Sus scrofa: one gene and its partners. The protein of the gene in region 3 interacts with the protein of the main gene of each other region in a pairwise test. Links are inferred from orthologs where the notes say so. Each region holds a gene or a part of one and is shown on either strand. Other genes may lie near its edges. The genes, in order: FGFR4, ARNT and MAP2K3.

Region 1 (4,225 bases), on a different chromosome or scaffold from region 3:
ACATTCCCACCAACAGTGTATGAGGAAAACATGTCTGCTTTTGGTGACAACTTCTTGAGGATGATACTGTCATTCTACCTGTTTTACTGATGAGGAAATCAAGACACAGGGATGGAGTAACTTGATAAGTCCATGTGTGAAGGTGCTGAGCTTTGAGTCCTGCAATTTTTGCTCTGAATTACTTCACTCCCTTCTCACTACCCATGCTCACAGGAGCAAAGACCTGGAAGAGGAACCTGACAAATTTAAAGGGTTTCTCTGAGGAAGTGAGATGAAACCTAAGAATGAGATGGAACTAACCAGATCTAGAGGGAAAGATCACTCCAGGAAGAGGAACTATATTTGCAAAGGCCCGGAGGTAGCGGTGGGAGCAAGGAGGAAGTGAATGAAGACTTTATCTGAAGATGTGGGTGGGCCAGGTCAGGCCAAGAATCTCTATAGGAAGTTCTTGGAAAGTTTTAAAGCGGTGGCTGTGGTTGATACAGTCGTATTTTCTTTTCTTTTCTTTTTCTTTTGTCTTTTTAGGGCTGCACCCACAGCATACGGAGGTTCCCAGGCTAGGTGTCAAATGGGAGCTACAGCAGCCACAGCAACCTGAGATCCTAGCCACATCTGCGACCTACACCAGAACTTGAGGCAACGCTAGATCCTTAACACACTGAGCAAGGGCAGCGATACAACTCCTGTCCTCATGGATATTAAGTCAGGTTACTGTTATGGCTGGGCTATAATAGGAACTCCCATATTTGTATTTTAAATATCACTCTGGGAGTTCTCTTGTGGCACAACGGGTTAAGGATCCTGCGTTGTCACTGCAGTGACTTGGGTCGCTGCTGTGGCATGGATTCGATCCCTGGACCAGGAATTTCCACAGGCCGGAGGCGGCCAAAAAGGAAAAAAAATCACTCTGAAAGTTGTTCAGAGAACGGATGGGGGTACAAGCTGGGTAGGTCTACTAGCTACTGTATGACAATTGCGCAGAAGACAAAGGAGCCAGACTAAGCCAGAGTCTACGGAAATGGCGGGTCAGGACTGCTGGGTCTTGTCCCCAGAGGGATGAAGTGCAGGAGGTGGAGCAATGGACTAGAACTTGGAAGCCTGGCCTGGGTGAGGCAAATAAAGGCAGAATCGGAAGGGATGTGCCAGCTAGGATTGCCCCCCCGCCCCCCCCGTTCCCCCGCCCCGTAGGCCGCGGGGCGCTGATGGGTTCGAGGACTGGTCTCCAGGTGGGCGGGACGCTATGCCACCCGCTGTCAGGAGCTGGTCCAGGAGGGGCCAGGCCCGAGATGGGCGGGGCACTGGGCTGTTCCCGGCCCAGTCTCTGTCAGGACAGAGCTGGTCCAGGAGGGGAGGAGCCCAAAGTAGGCGAAACTCGAGGTGGGCGGGGCGCTGGGCCGCCCCGCGGCCACGCCGCTGTCGCGGGTGCATTCCTGGCTCTCCCGCCCGGGGCTGAGCAGCTCCCGGGCTGAGCCTGCCATCCCCGCTGGGCGCAGGGGTCGGGGCTGGTGGAAGCTGGGAGCCGGGCTGCAGAGGACCCAGGTGAGTCGGAACCCTGTGCTGGAAGCGGGTCCACGGAGGTTCGAGGTGAGCCGGGACCAGGCTGCGCTCCCAGCCGCCAGGGGGCGAGCGGCGGCGGGACTGGGAGCTGACCCCTCCCAGCACTGAGGACCTAGGCGTCCGCTCAGCCGGTGGGGGGGCGGGGGGGGTTGATGGGGACGGTAAATCAGTAACCCGCAGCGCACACAGGGCCTTTTGTCCCGCTCTGTCCAAAGAGCACCCGGGCCGCGGAGCTGGTTACTCATTGCCCACCGGGGCGGGGGCGGGCCGGCTGTCTCTGCAGCTCTCCTTCAGGACCCGTGACTGGCATTTGCCCCCAGCGAGGCTGGGTTGGGGTGGAGGAGGAAGAGCGCCCTGGTCCCTCTGTCCCCGACCGTGTGCGGGCTCCGAGTAGAGATAAGGAGGCTGTGGCTCTGAGAGGTGCAGTCATTTGTCCAGGGTCCCCCAGCGCTTGGGTGCGAGAGGCTGGAGAACACAAGACTACTTGTGCCAGAGTCAGGCCCTTCGGCCCCACGTGCTGGGCCGTCGGTCAGCGGCCCCTTGTGACCCGACTAAGGTTCTGAGGTCAGGGTAGCCTGGGGGTGGGATAAAAATCCCTGGGCCTCCCACTCCACTCCCAACCTAGAGAGCCGCCCTTTCTGCAGAGCAGAGCAGGGTGAGGGGATTTCACAGAGGAAGGGCAATGGAAGCCAGTGATGGGCACAGAGATAGTGGAAATTGTGTCTTCTGAGCTATGTGGAAAAGAGAAATGGGGAGCATGGAGGTATAGGCAAGAGAGAAGACGTGCAGTTTTGAAAACTAATGGTTTAACAGTACTGAAGTAGCAGAATGTGCAGCCAAAGATAGGGACAAGGGCATGGAGGGAGGCCTAGGATGCTGGATAAACAGTGTGGACTGGGTCCTGCTGCACATAGACAGCCATTAAGGGCTTGTAAGCTGGGGTGGGACAGACTTTTTTTTTTTTTTTTAATCAGCTTGATGTGGGATCTCAGTTCCCAGACTAGGGATTGAACTCTGGACCACACTGGTGAAAAGCACAGAGTCCTAACCACTAGGACACCAGGGAACTTCCCAGACTTGTCATTTTTGAAGCCCTGCTGGAGAACCCAGAGAGATGTTTGCAAAGGTCCAAGCTAGAGATGACCGTGGCATGCTCTAGATTCAAGCAGGGGAAGAGGGATGGACTGGAGAGGCGTTTGGAAAGTGATGCCCCAGTTGGAGGCAACTCAGGGAAGGAGCAGTTTGAAGCGGGAGATAATAACTTTGGCCAGGACACACCGAGTGCCACTTGCCTCAGAAGCAGAGCTGAAGAGGGAAAAGAGGCTAAGTAGAGAGGGTGCGATGGGACTCCTGGGCAAGGTAGATCCAGAAACACCAGCACCACCTGTTACCCAGCCCCAAGTGATAGCTGGTAGGCCCCTGGAACTACACTGGTCACCCTCTTCCTTTGCCCTGGCTGAGGTTCGGTTTTGAGTGTTCCTCTTGGGGGATGGAGACATCCTTGGTAGCATTTGGAGGAGGGTAATTGGATGGGGTGTGTGTGTGTACATCACACTTGAGGTGAGTAGCACCACAGAGAGAGGTGACTTCCCTGGCCAAGGGCAGACCCAGGGTGACAATCATGGGGAGGCAGATGGAGAAGAGAACATTCCAACATTATGTGTGCCCACCTCCTACATACATTCTCTTTTATCCTCAAAGTAGTCCTGGGAGGAGAGTGGCCCAGAGAGGGACAGGGACTTGCAAGTTGGTAAGAGTCAGGATTTGATCCTGGCTCTGTCAGACACTAGAGTGTACATCCTTTACAAGAGCTTGTGTTGCCTCAGATGGAGTTGTGGAAGCACAGAAAACAGAAGTATCTCCAGAATGCAGTTTTGGTTCAGAGTGTGAAAGAACTTCTGAGAGTTCCCTGGTGGCTCAGAGGGTTAAGGATTCAGCATTGCTGCTGCTCTGGCTTAGCTTTGATCCCTGATCCGGAAACTTCTGCATGCCTTGCAGGAGAGAGGACTTCTTTTGTAGTTTAGTGGGTTAAGAACCCGACATATTGAGTGTCGGCAAGGATGCAGGTTTGATCCCTGGCCTTGCTTAGTAGATTAAGAGTCTGCTGTTGCCACAAGCTGCAGCATAGGTCACAGATGCAGCTCGGATCCGGTGTTGCTATGGCTGTGGCCCCTAGCCCTGGATTTAACCCCTAGCCCAGGAACTTTCATATGCCACAGGTGTGGCCTTAAAAGGGGCGGGGGGGAGGAGTTCCTGTCATGGCTCAGCGGTAACAAACCTGACTATAGTATGCAGGAGGACTTGGGTTTGATCCGTAACCTCACTCAGTGGGTTAAGGATCTGGCTTTGTTGTGAGCTGTGGTGTAGGCCTGCAGCTGTAGCTCTGATTCGACCCCTAGCCTGGGAATTTCCATATGCCATGGGTGTGGCCCTAAAAAGACAAAAAAAAAAAAGAGAGAGAGCTTCCACTTGCCATAAAACGTACTGCCTTGTTAGTAGTGAGTGCCCTGCCACTGGAGGTGTCCAAAGCTGGTCATGGAAATGTCAGCAATGCGCTAAAGAGTGGGGATCAGATCAGATAACATCCAGATGCTGATATTTGGCCTTGTATTATATTTCAGATTTTTTTTTTTTGGCTCTTCAGTAATAAATTCATTTATTCAGCAAA
Region 2 (3,606 bases), on a different chromosome or scaffold from region 3:
TTTCAGTAGCAAATACTGCAGTGTACTACATGACCCGCATTTGGTTGAACTGTGTATACATGGATGGCCGACTGACTGTAAGTTATACTCAGATTTTTGACTCATCAGAAAATCAGCACCCCAATCCCTGCATTGTTCAAGGGTTAACTATATTTCATTTGTATGTTTCAAACCTTTTGCTTATCTATTTATCAGTTGATGGATATTGAGTTGTTTACACTTTGGGCTATTAAGAATGCTGCTGTGAACATTTGTTGACTAGTTTTTGTGTGGATATGTTTTTATTCTCGAGTATATACATAGGAGTAGAATAGTTGAATCACATAACTCTTATGTTTAATCTTTTGAGGAACTTCCAAACTGTTTTCCAAAGCTGCTATACCATTTTACATTCTTATCAGCAGTGTATGAGGGTTTCACTTCTCCACATTTTTACTGTCTTTTAAAAATTGTATCTGTCCTTGTAGGCGTCAGTTGTCAAGGTACTTCTTTTCTATTTAATCTGTTTAGAATTGGCCTTTAACCTATCTCTTGAAGATCTCATAAATAATTAGCCAGTGTGAAAATATCTGGTGACAACATTGAATCTGTATCCTCCAGTTCAACTTTTAGGGCTTGTAAAATTTAATTCTTTGCTAATTAACTCAGTGTATAACAGAGTGGATTGAATTAAAAATTTTCATTAACTGAGGACTCAAGTCATTGTAGTTTGTTTTTTTTTTTTTGTTTTTGCCTCTTTATATTGCAGAACAGTTGTTTTGTGTTTTTGTTTTGTTTAAATTGAAATGTTTAAGTGTTTTTAAATACTCGTCTCTGGAAATAATGGCTTTTCCCATTTTTACATACTACAGTTTTTCCTACCACAGTTAGTTTAATTCATTCTTAATGTTTTTTTTTGTAATATTCTTCATAGAAAATTTGCAAAGTATTAAAAACAATAAGGAAAAGGAAAAATTTTTTCACTGCACAGAAATAGTCTTTGTTAATTTTTAGTACTTTTTTTTTTTTGGTCTTTTTAGGGCTGTACCAACAGCATATGGAAGTTCCCAGGCTAGGGGTCTAATCGGAACTGTAACTGCCGGCCTACATCACAGCTACAGCAACGTGGGATCCGAGCTGTGTCTGCGACCTACACCACAGCTCACAGCAATGCCAGATCCTTAACCCACTGAGTGAGGCCAGGGATGGAACCCGCATCCTCATGCATTCTAGTCGGGTTTGTTACCGCTGAGCCACAATGGGAACTCCTGTACTTTGTTTTTTATTTACACTTTTAAAAAACACAGTGTATTGACATGCAACACACACATACACAGCAACTAGGTATTGAACACCTAAAAGGAATTAGAATCCAAAGAGGATGAACCTTGTGCCATGAAACATAGTTTCTGTTTGTACCACGTTGTCCATAGTGTGAATTATTTGTTGAATCTGAGGTTATAGGTTACTTATAGAATTGGATTGGAAAGGGGAATTTATCAGTAATTACCCACCTACAGGTGAATCTGTAGAGTTTTATGTGCAGAATCAGATACTTTTTGTTTTCTTTGTTTCCTCTACTCTTCATTTTCCCAGGAACTCCAGCCAGGAGCCACGGCCTACACTGTCCAACACAATTCAGAGGCCACAGCTAGGTCCCACAGCTAATTTATCCCTGGAGATGGGCTCAGGGCAGCTGGCACCCAGGTGAGAAATGGTGGGAAAATCATTTATTGAGCAGTGACTGGCCTGGGGGTTGGCAGTCTATGTTCTTTCTCATTTTTTATTTATTTCCTTGTTTGTTTTAAGCTCTTTCCCCAAAAATGTTTTTTTTTTTTTTTTTTTCCCCCCGATTTCTCTCTTCACTTGCCTTTAACATATAGGCAGCAGCAACAGCAAACGGAATTGGATGTGGTGCCAGGAAGAGATGGACTAGCTAGCTACAATCATTCCCAGGTTAGTATGTCTTCTTTGATGGATGGTGAGCATTTCCTTAACAGATGTCTGCCAGAGCCAATTAGAGTGTATGTGTGTCCTTATATGGATTTTAGGGTTATTGAATTGTCATGTTAAACCTTTCATTTTTATTTTTATCATTGTGTTCCACAGGTTTCTGTTCAGCCTGTGACAACCACAGGGCCAGAACACAGCAAGCCCCTTGAGAAGTCAGAGGGTCTATTTGCCCAGGATAGAGATCCAAGATTTTCAGAAATCTACTCCAATATCAATACAGGTATGTTTCTTCCTCATTCTCATTTTAAATTCTCATTTTGATCACTTACTGATGGGCCTGCAACTGCCCAATCAATAGTCTCCCAGCATATTTCCACTTAATTCTAATACCTCATAAATAGGAACTTGCTGAACTAATATACTACAGCCCCTTGACTGGCCCTCCCCCAACTCCTTTTGGTCCACAGATCAGAGTAAAGGCATCTCCTCCAGCACTGTCCCTGCCACCCAACAGCTATTCTCCCAGGGCAACACATTCCCTCCTACCCCCCGGCCGGCAGAGAATTTCAGGTGAGCCCCATATGTGTGTGCTGCTTTATAGGGCAATTGAGGGATTCAGTTACTGAATCCAAGTTTTTTTCTTCCCTAGCTTTCTCTGGTTATATCAGACAAAGCTGTGGAACTTGTAGGACTAGGATGAGACAAGTTTGCTTTTTGTCCCCCTTTTTCTTTGCACCTGTCCTGTTGCCATGTTCTAGGTTCCATTTCTGTGTATTCTGATCAGTGTGTGACCGTCAGTCTTTCTTGTCTTTTCCAGGTTGCGTTATCCAGTTTTCCTTAACCCCAGGGAGTCAAGGGAATCTAGGAATAGCTAGATTGTCCTGCAATTTCTGGATTTTATGATAAACCCATCTTTTTAATCCTTTACCTCACTATTTGTTCACTCCTAGAAATAGTGGTCTGGCCCCTCCTGTAACCATTGTCCAGCCTTCAGCTTCTGCAGGGCAGATGTTGGCCCAGATTTCCCGCCACTCCAATCCTACCCAGGGAGCAGCCCCAGCGTGGACCCCTAGCACCCGCCCAGGCTTCTCTGCCCAGGTAAACCTTTTCATTTATCTGTCCTTCGTGTATTTTGTTTGTTTGATTAGGTTTTTTTTGCACATGTGAAATTATTGTTGTCTGTTTTAGACACCTTCTCCCCACCCCATAGCCCCTACCTTCCAATTTTTATTTCTGTTGGGAGCAATTAGATAATTAAAAATAATCCAGATATCTCAAGAGTCTGTGGTTTTCACATTCACCTTAAATTAGAATTGCTCACAAACATATTGATTAGGTTTGAGTTCCGCATTTGTTTTGGAGTAAATCCTAAGAAATTTTAGACTTTGGTTGGGGCCACAAAATAGACCAGGGAGAAAATTAATTACTAATTTATATACAGTGATGTCTACGAAAAAAAATTGTTGAAAAATCTTCACAAAATGTATAATATTTAACATATGTTAAGGTTAAAGCTAATATCCTTTCGTATGTTGATATATACTTATATTGCATAGATTTTATAAATATATATATATATATATATTTTTTTTTTTTTTTGGTCTTTTTAGAGCTGCACTCGTGGCATATGGAGGTTCCCAGGCTAGGACTCAAATCAGAGTTGTAGCTGCTGGC
Region 3 (4,057 bases):
TGAGGAGTCCATAGCTCATGCCTTTCTGCCCACTGCCGGGAAAGATGAGCCAGAGACACAGGAGGAAATAATGATAATTAGTAGGCCTCCCCTTATCTCATCTGACTGTGTGGGTGGGCCCCGAGGGTCACCTCTGTCTTAAAAGCAGGAAGGCTCCACGCCTTTCTAGCAGGTGGTGGAATCTGCTTCCCTCACGTGAGATGCCTGGCAGGTCACACGCTCATACCTGCCTGAAGCCAGGGGCTGACCCTGTGACCTTTGCCAGGCCGGCTATCCAAGTCCTGGTCCCAGTTTGCCAGCTTGGTCAGTGGCTCCTGAAATCCCAAGCTCCCACGTGGGAGCAGAAAGGGCACCGGCCCGACTGGACATTATACAGATGAGCAGACTGAGGCCTCGAGAGGAGGAGGGACGGAATCAAGGGCGTGGGAGAGAGCCAGGACTAGACCTTGGCTGAAATGCTTTGAGATGCCGTCTTACTCGCTAAGGCTGTTTCCGCACGTGTAGAACCGGGCGGGGGCAGGGGACACAGCCCTCAGAGCTACCGACGTTTGCTGACTTCTCCCCAGGTACCACCAAGCCGGCCTTTGTGTCCCCAGCCGTTGCTGAATACGGAATAAACATGCGCACGCCGGGCATTCAGTCAACAAACACCTCTTGCGTGTCGGTGGAAGCCAGGGTCTCTTCCCACCAGCAGCGCCGGGAGGCGGGGACGCGAAAACAGGCTCGGGTGGCCTGACTTGCCCAGGTCAGCCCCGCTATGAAGTAGTCGAATCGGGATCTGACCCCAGCTTCACCCCCGGGGCGCACTTCGAGCCCACCGGCGGCACCCGCCTTCCTGCTCCCCAGGGCCTCCGCCAGGCCGCCGGGGACACCCGGTCGCTGCGCACACTGCGGGGCTCGAGTCCGGGTGGGCGGGGCTTGCGCCTGGTCGGCGGGGGTGCGGAGCCTGACTGGTTTCCAGGTGGCAGGCGGGCTTGACAGGCGGTGGGAGGAGCCACATCCCCGGCCAACGGAGGGCGAGGCTTGAGCTTGACGGGCAGCCCCGGGCCCGCGTTTGATAGGCAGGGGCCGGGCCCCGGAGACCGGAGGACCAATGGGGGTGCGGGGCGGGGCTTGCGTCGGCGCCGTCCGGCCGGGGCCCCAGTCGCGCTGCCCAGTCTGGCCCCGCCGCCGCCTGCCGCGGTCGCGTCCTCGCCGCCGCCCTGGCCGCCGCCCGGGCCGCCCGCCCGCAGCCATGAGCGCGTTCCGCTCGGGCCCAGCCCGTCGCCCCCTGGACTAATCCCGCTGCCGCCCCGACCCGCCTGCACCATGGAGTCGCCCGCCGCGAGTCCTCCCGCCGGCGTGCCCCCGCCCAAAGGTAGGAGCGCCTGGACTGCAGACGCGAGTCTTGCGCGGTCCTCTGGCCCGGCCTCGAACCTCTCGCTCTTCGGTCCCGCGCCCATCCTGGGACCTCGACTGGGTCCCATTTTAGGCTTTGGGGCTGCACCCAGGCCCAAACTCAGGCGGGGGTCTGGTCCTGATCACCCCGCTCCGGGTCAGGAACGTCCATCTGACCTCCCGGTTTGGGCCTTAACTGCACCCTGGACAGGAACTCTCCCAATCCGGGTCCCTCAGCTGGACCGAGGTGGGAGTCACTCTGAGCCCGCGCCCAGCCCGCTTCCACTTCTGGATACCGGGGTTGCATCCAGGCTGGGATTTAACTGGCTCCACGTCTGGGCCCCAGCGGTGCCCCCTGCTGGGGATCTCCCGTGTGGGTGCCCTGGCTAGGCTCCAGCTCAGAACTCCCCGTCTCCCCCCCAACCCCCACCGCGCTCCATCCTCCTAGGCTCCACATTGTGCGCTCCCTGGCCTGCCTGCATCCCGCCCTGCAGCCCTGTCTCCCTGGGAACCTCCCTGAGCCTCCCACCTGGCTCTGCTGCACAGCCCCCTCTCATGGGCTCGCCTTGTCCCGAGTTGCAGCCTCCTCTGCACCAGGGAGCTCACCCTCTCCTGCGCATGTCTCCAGGGTTGATTGGTCCCAGGTCTGTCCCGCTGCCTGTGGGTCCTGGGCCACTGCCAGGCCGGGTGCTGGCTGTGCAATGGGCTTGCTCTTGTCTTCTCCAAGTAGCCGGCCTTCCTGGAAATTTTTGTGAGGTGGCGGCTGCGGCGGCCGGATTTGTCATGCAGAGGGGGAGGACGAGACTTGGAGGGCAAAAGGGGGATTTTTTTGGCAGGGAGAGGCAAGGATGTTTTGGCCTGTCGGAGTCTTGGCGGGCTGGGCTGCGTGAGACGTTTCCAAACCGGACACAGCCCTGATGAATGGGCTGCCCCCCCAGCCTGCTGCCTCATCCCAGCGGCAGGAGCGTCTCTGGGCCCCGGTGTCCTTATCACACCTGCTTCCGTGGACTGTGGACTCTGGGCATGAGACGGTGAACCCTGAAGAGTTTTAGGCCAGTGTGGGTGATGAGGCGAAGGGCTCGCGTGGTCACAGTTTTTCTAGCTGGAAAGGCCTCAGCCATGTGGGATCAAGGCTTTGCCTCTGTTTGGATTGTAGCTGCAGAGTGAGGGGGAGAAAGGCAACAGCTGGAGCTCAGCGGCCCGCATCAGGGGTTGTCCCTGCTTCTCTTTTTCTGGGTGTGTGTGTGTGGGGGGCAGGCAGCTGGAGGGCTTGTGGGGTCCTGGCGAGGGTGTGGGTCCTTGCCTGCCCCTGCTCCTGGCGGCTGCGGTGGCTGTGGGCCGGAGCCCAGCCGGCCGGGTGGGCAGGGTAATTACGTCTTACCTAAGTGGGAGGCCGGATCCCTGACCATTGCCCAACCGCTGTGAGTAACCCAGGAGGCACTCGAGGGGGAGATGGCTGGGGAGGGATGTGCCCTGTGCAGACCTCGTGGAGCTCAGGAACTGGGAAATCGGGCACTTCTCTTCCCCAGCTCCAGGTCGAGGCCTGGCCTGGCCAGGGCTGTGAGATCCGGGGCAGGTCCACGCATCACTCTGGGCCACAGTGTCTTTCAGGGGCAGAGAGAAGACGATGGAAGCCGTGTTTGTTTGTGACGGTCCTTCCAGGTGGGGAAACCCTCGTCGAAGTAAAAATTGCAGGTTGCATAGTTACGGAGGGAGAGGGCTCGTGTGTGTGAAGGGATAAAGCACTTTTGGCAGACGCGCGTGCTGTGTGACCTGAGCTGAGGTGCCGCCCTCTCTGAGCCTCTGCAGAGAGGGGACCAGGCTGGATTTTAGTGTGGGAGTCCAGGTAACAGATGCTGTTGGGTGGGTTGGATGGAGGGTCGGGCCTCCCCAAGGCCCAGGGACCTCGTCAGCCTCTTTGGGGTCCGGGGCGAAATGTAGTGGGGAAGCCACCGTGCCGCTCACCCAGGCCCCGAGAGCTCCCACACACCCGCGTTCCCATGAGCCAGGTGCTGCGCCATCAGTTGTCCACAGTGCTCTTCGCCGTCAGGGAAGCTGAGGCTCAGAGGCTCTCAGTGCCTTGCCCGAGGTCACACAGCTTTGGCAGTGGACCTAGTGTGTCTCTGCAGTGCTCCTCTGGGGGCGTGCCATTTCTGTGCCGGATGCTTGGGCTGAGCTGGTGGGGGACCCCCCCCCAATCACACCTCTGTCCAGAGGCATCTCCTCCAGCCCACGCCTGACCTGGAGGGTGGACGGAGCAGATGAGATGCTTCCCGCGTGCACAGCTCTGTACAGTTGGCATGTTTCATGCTCCCTGCAGTCTGACCCATTTGACAGGTGACAAAACTGAGGTCAGCCAGGAGGAGTGGCTGGACGGAGCCCTCCCCACCCTGGGCACAGGCCACAGTGTTGTCCTCCTTGTCACCTTCTCAAGGAATTTGGACCAGGCAGGGTGTGGTCAGCACTTGACCCTGGAGAGCGTCACCGCTGAGCTTCCTGCCCTGCCCTCTGTGCCACAGGCCTGGGGAGCTTCCTGGGAGAGGACGAGTCCCCAGGCCCCACAGCCCTGCAGTTTTCCCGGGGCCTCCTCGCCCACATGCCACCTTAGATCGGGGTCAGGGCAGGGGCATTTTGGGTTGGCACAGCCTGGGTCTGCTGCCTCTGGCCACGTTGTCCTTGG

Evidence for each region.
Region 1: the proteins of MAP2K3 (region 3) and FGFR4 come close enough for resonance energy transfer, tested with the Homo sapiens proteins (2 studies listed by BioGRID). The link is inferred for Sus scrofa from reciprocal best matches to the Homo sapiens genes MAP2K3 and FGFR4.
Region 2: the proteins of MAP2K3 (region 3) and ARNT come close enough for resonance energy transfer, tested with the Homo sapiens proteins (2 studies listed by BioGRID). The link is inferred for Sus scrofa from reciprocal best matches to the Homo sapiens genes MAP2K3 and ARNT.

The regions. Positions count from the first base shown.
Region 1 is NC_010444.4:80,850,935-80,855,159, reverse strand, and holds the start of FGFR4 (fibroblast growth factor receptor 4), read left to right. Parts: upstream 1-1,368; 5' UTR 1,369-1,539; intron 1,540-4,225. UniProt on the Homo sapiens protein: Tyrosine-protein kinase that acts as a cell-surface receptor for fibroblast growth factors and plays a role in the regulation of cell proliferation, differentiation and migration, and in regulation of lipid metabolism, bile acid biosynthesis, glucose uptake, vitamin D metabolism and phosphate homeostasis.
Region 2 is NC_010446.5:98,381,937-98,385,542, forward strand, and holds part of ARNT (aryl hydrocarbon receptor nuclear translocator), read left to right. Parts: intron 1-1,575; coding exon 1,576-1,686; intron 1,687-1,862; coding exon 1,863-1,935; intron 1,936-2,088; coding exon 2,089-2,212; intron 2,213-2,399; coding exon 2,400-2,502; intron 2,503-2,882; coding exon 2,883-3,030; intron 3,031-3,606. UniProt on the Homo sapiens protein: Required for activity of the AHR. Upon ligand binding, AHR translocates into the nucleus, where it heterodimerizes with ARNT and induces transcription by binding to xenobiotic response elements (XRE).
Region 3 is NC_010454.4:61,395,216-61,399,272, forward strand, and holds the start of MAP2K3 (dual specificity mitogen-activated protein kinase kinase 3), read left to right. Parts: upstream 1-1,153; 5' UTR 1,154-1,308; coding exon of another isoform or gene 1,309-1,357; intron 1,358-4,057. UniProt on the Homo sapiens protein: Dual specificity kinase. Is activated by cytokines and environmental stress in vivo. Catalyzes the concomitant phosphorylation of a threonine and a tyrosine residue in the MAP kinase p38.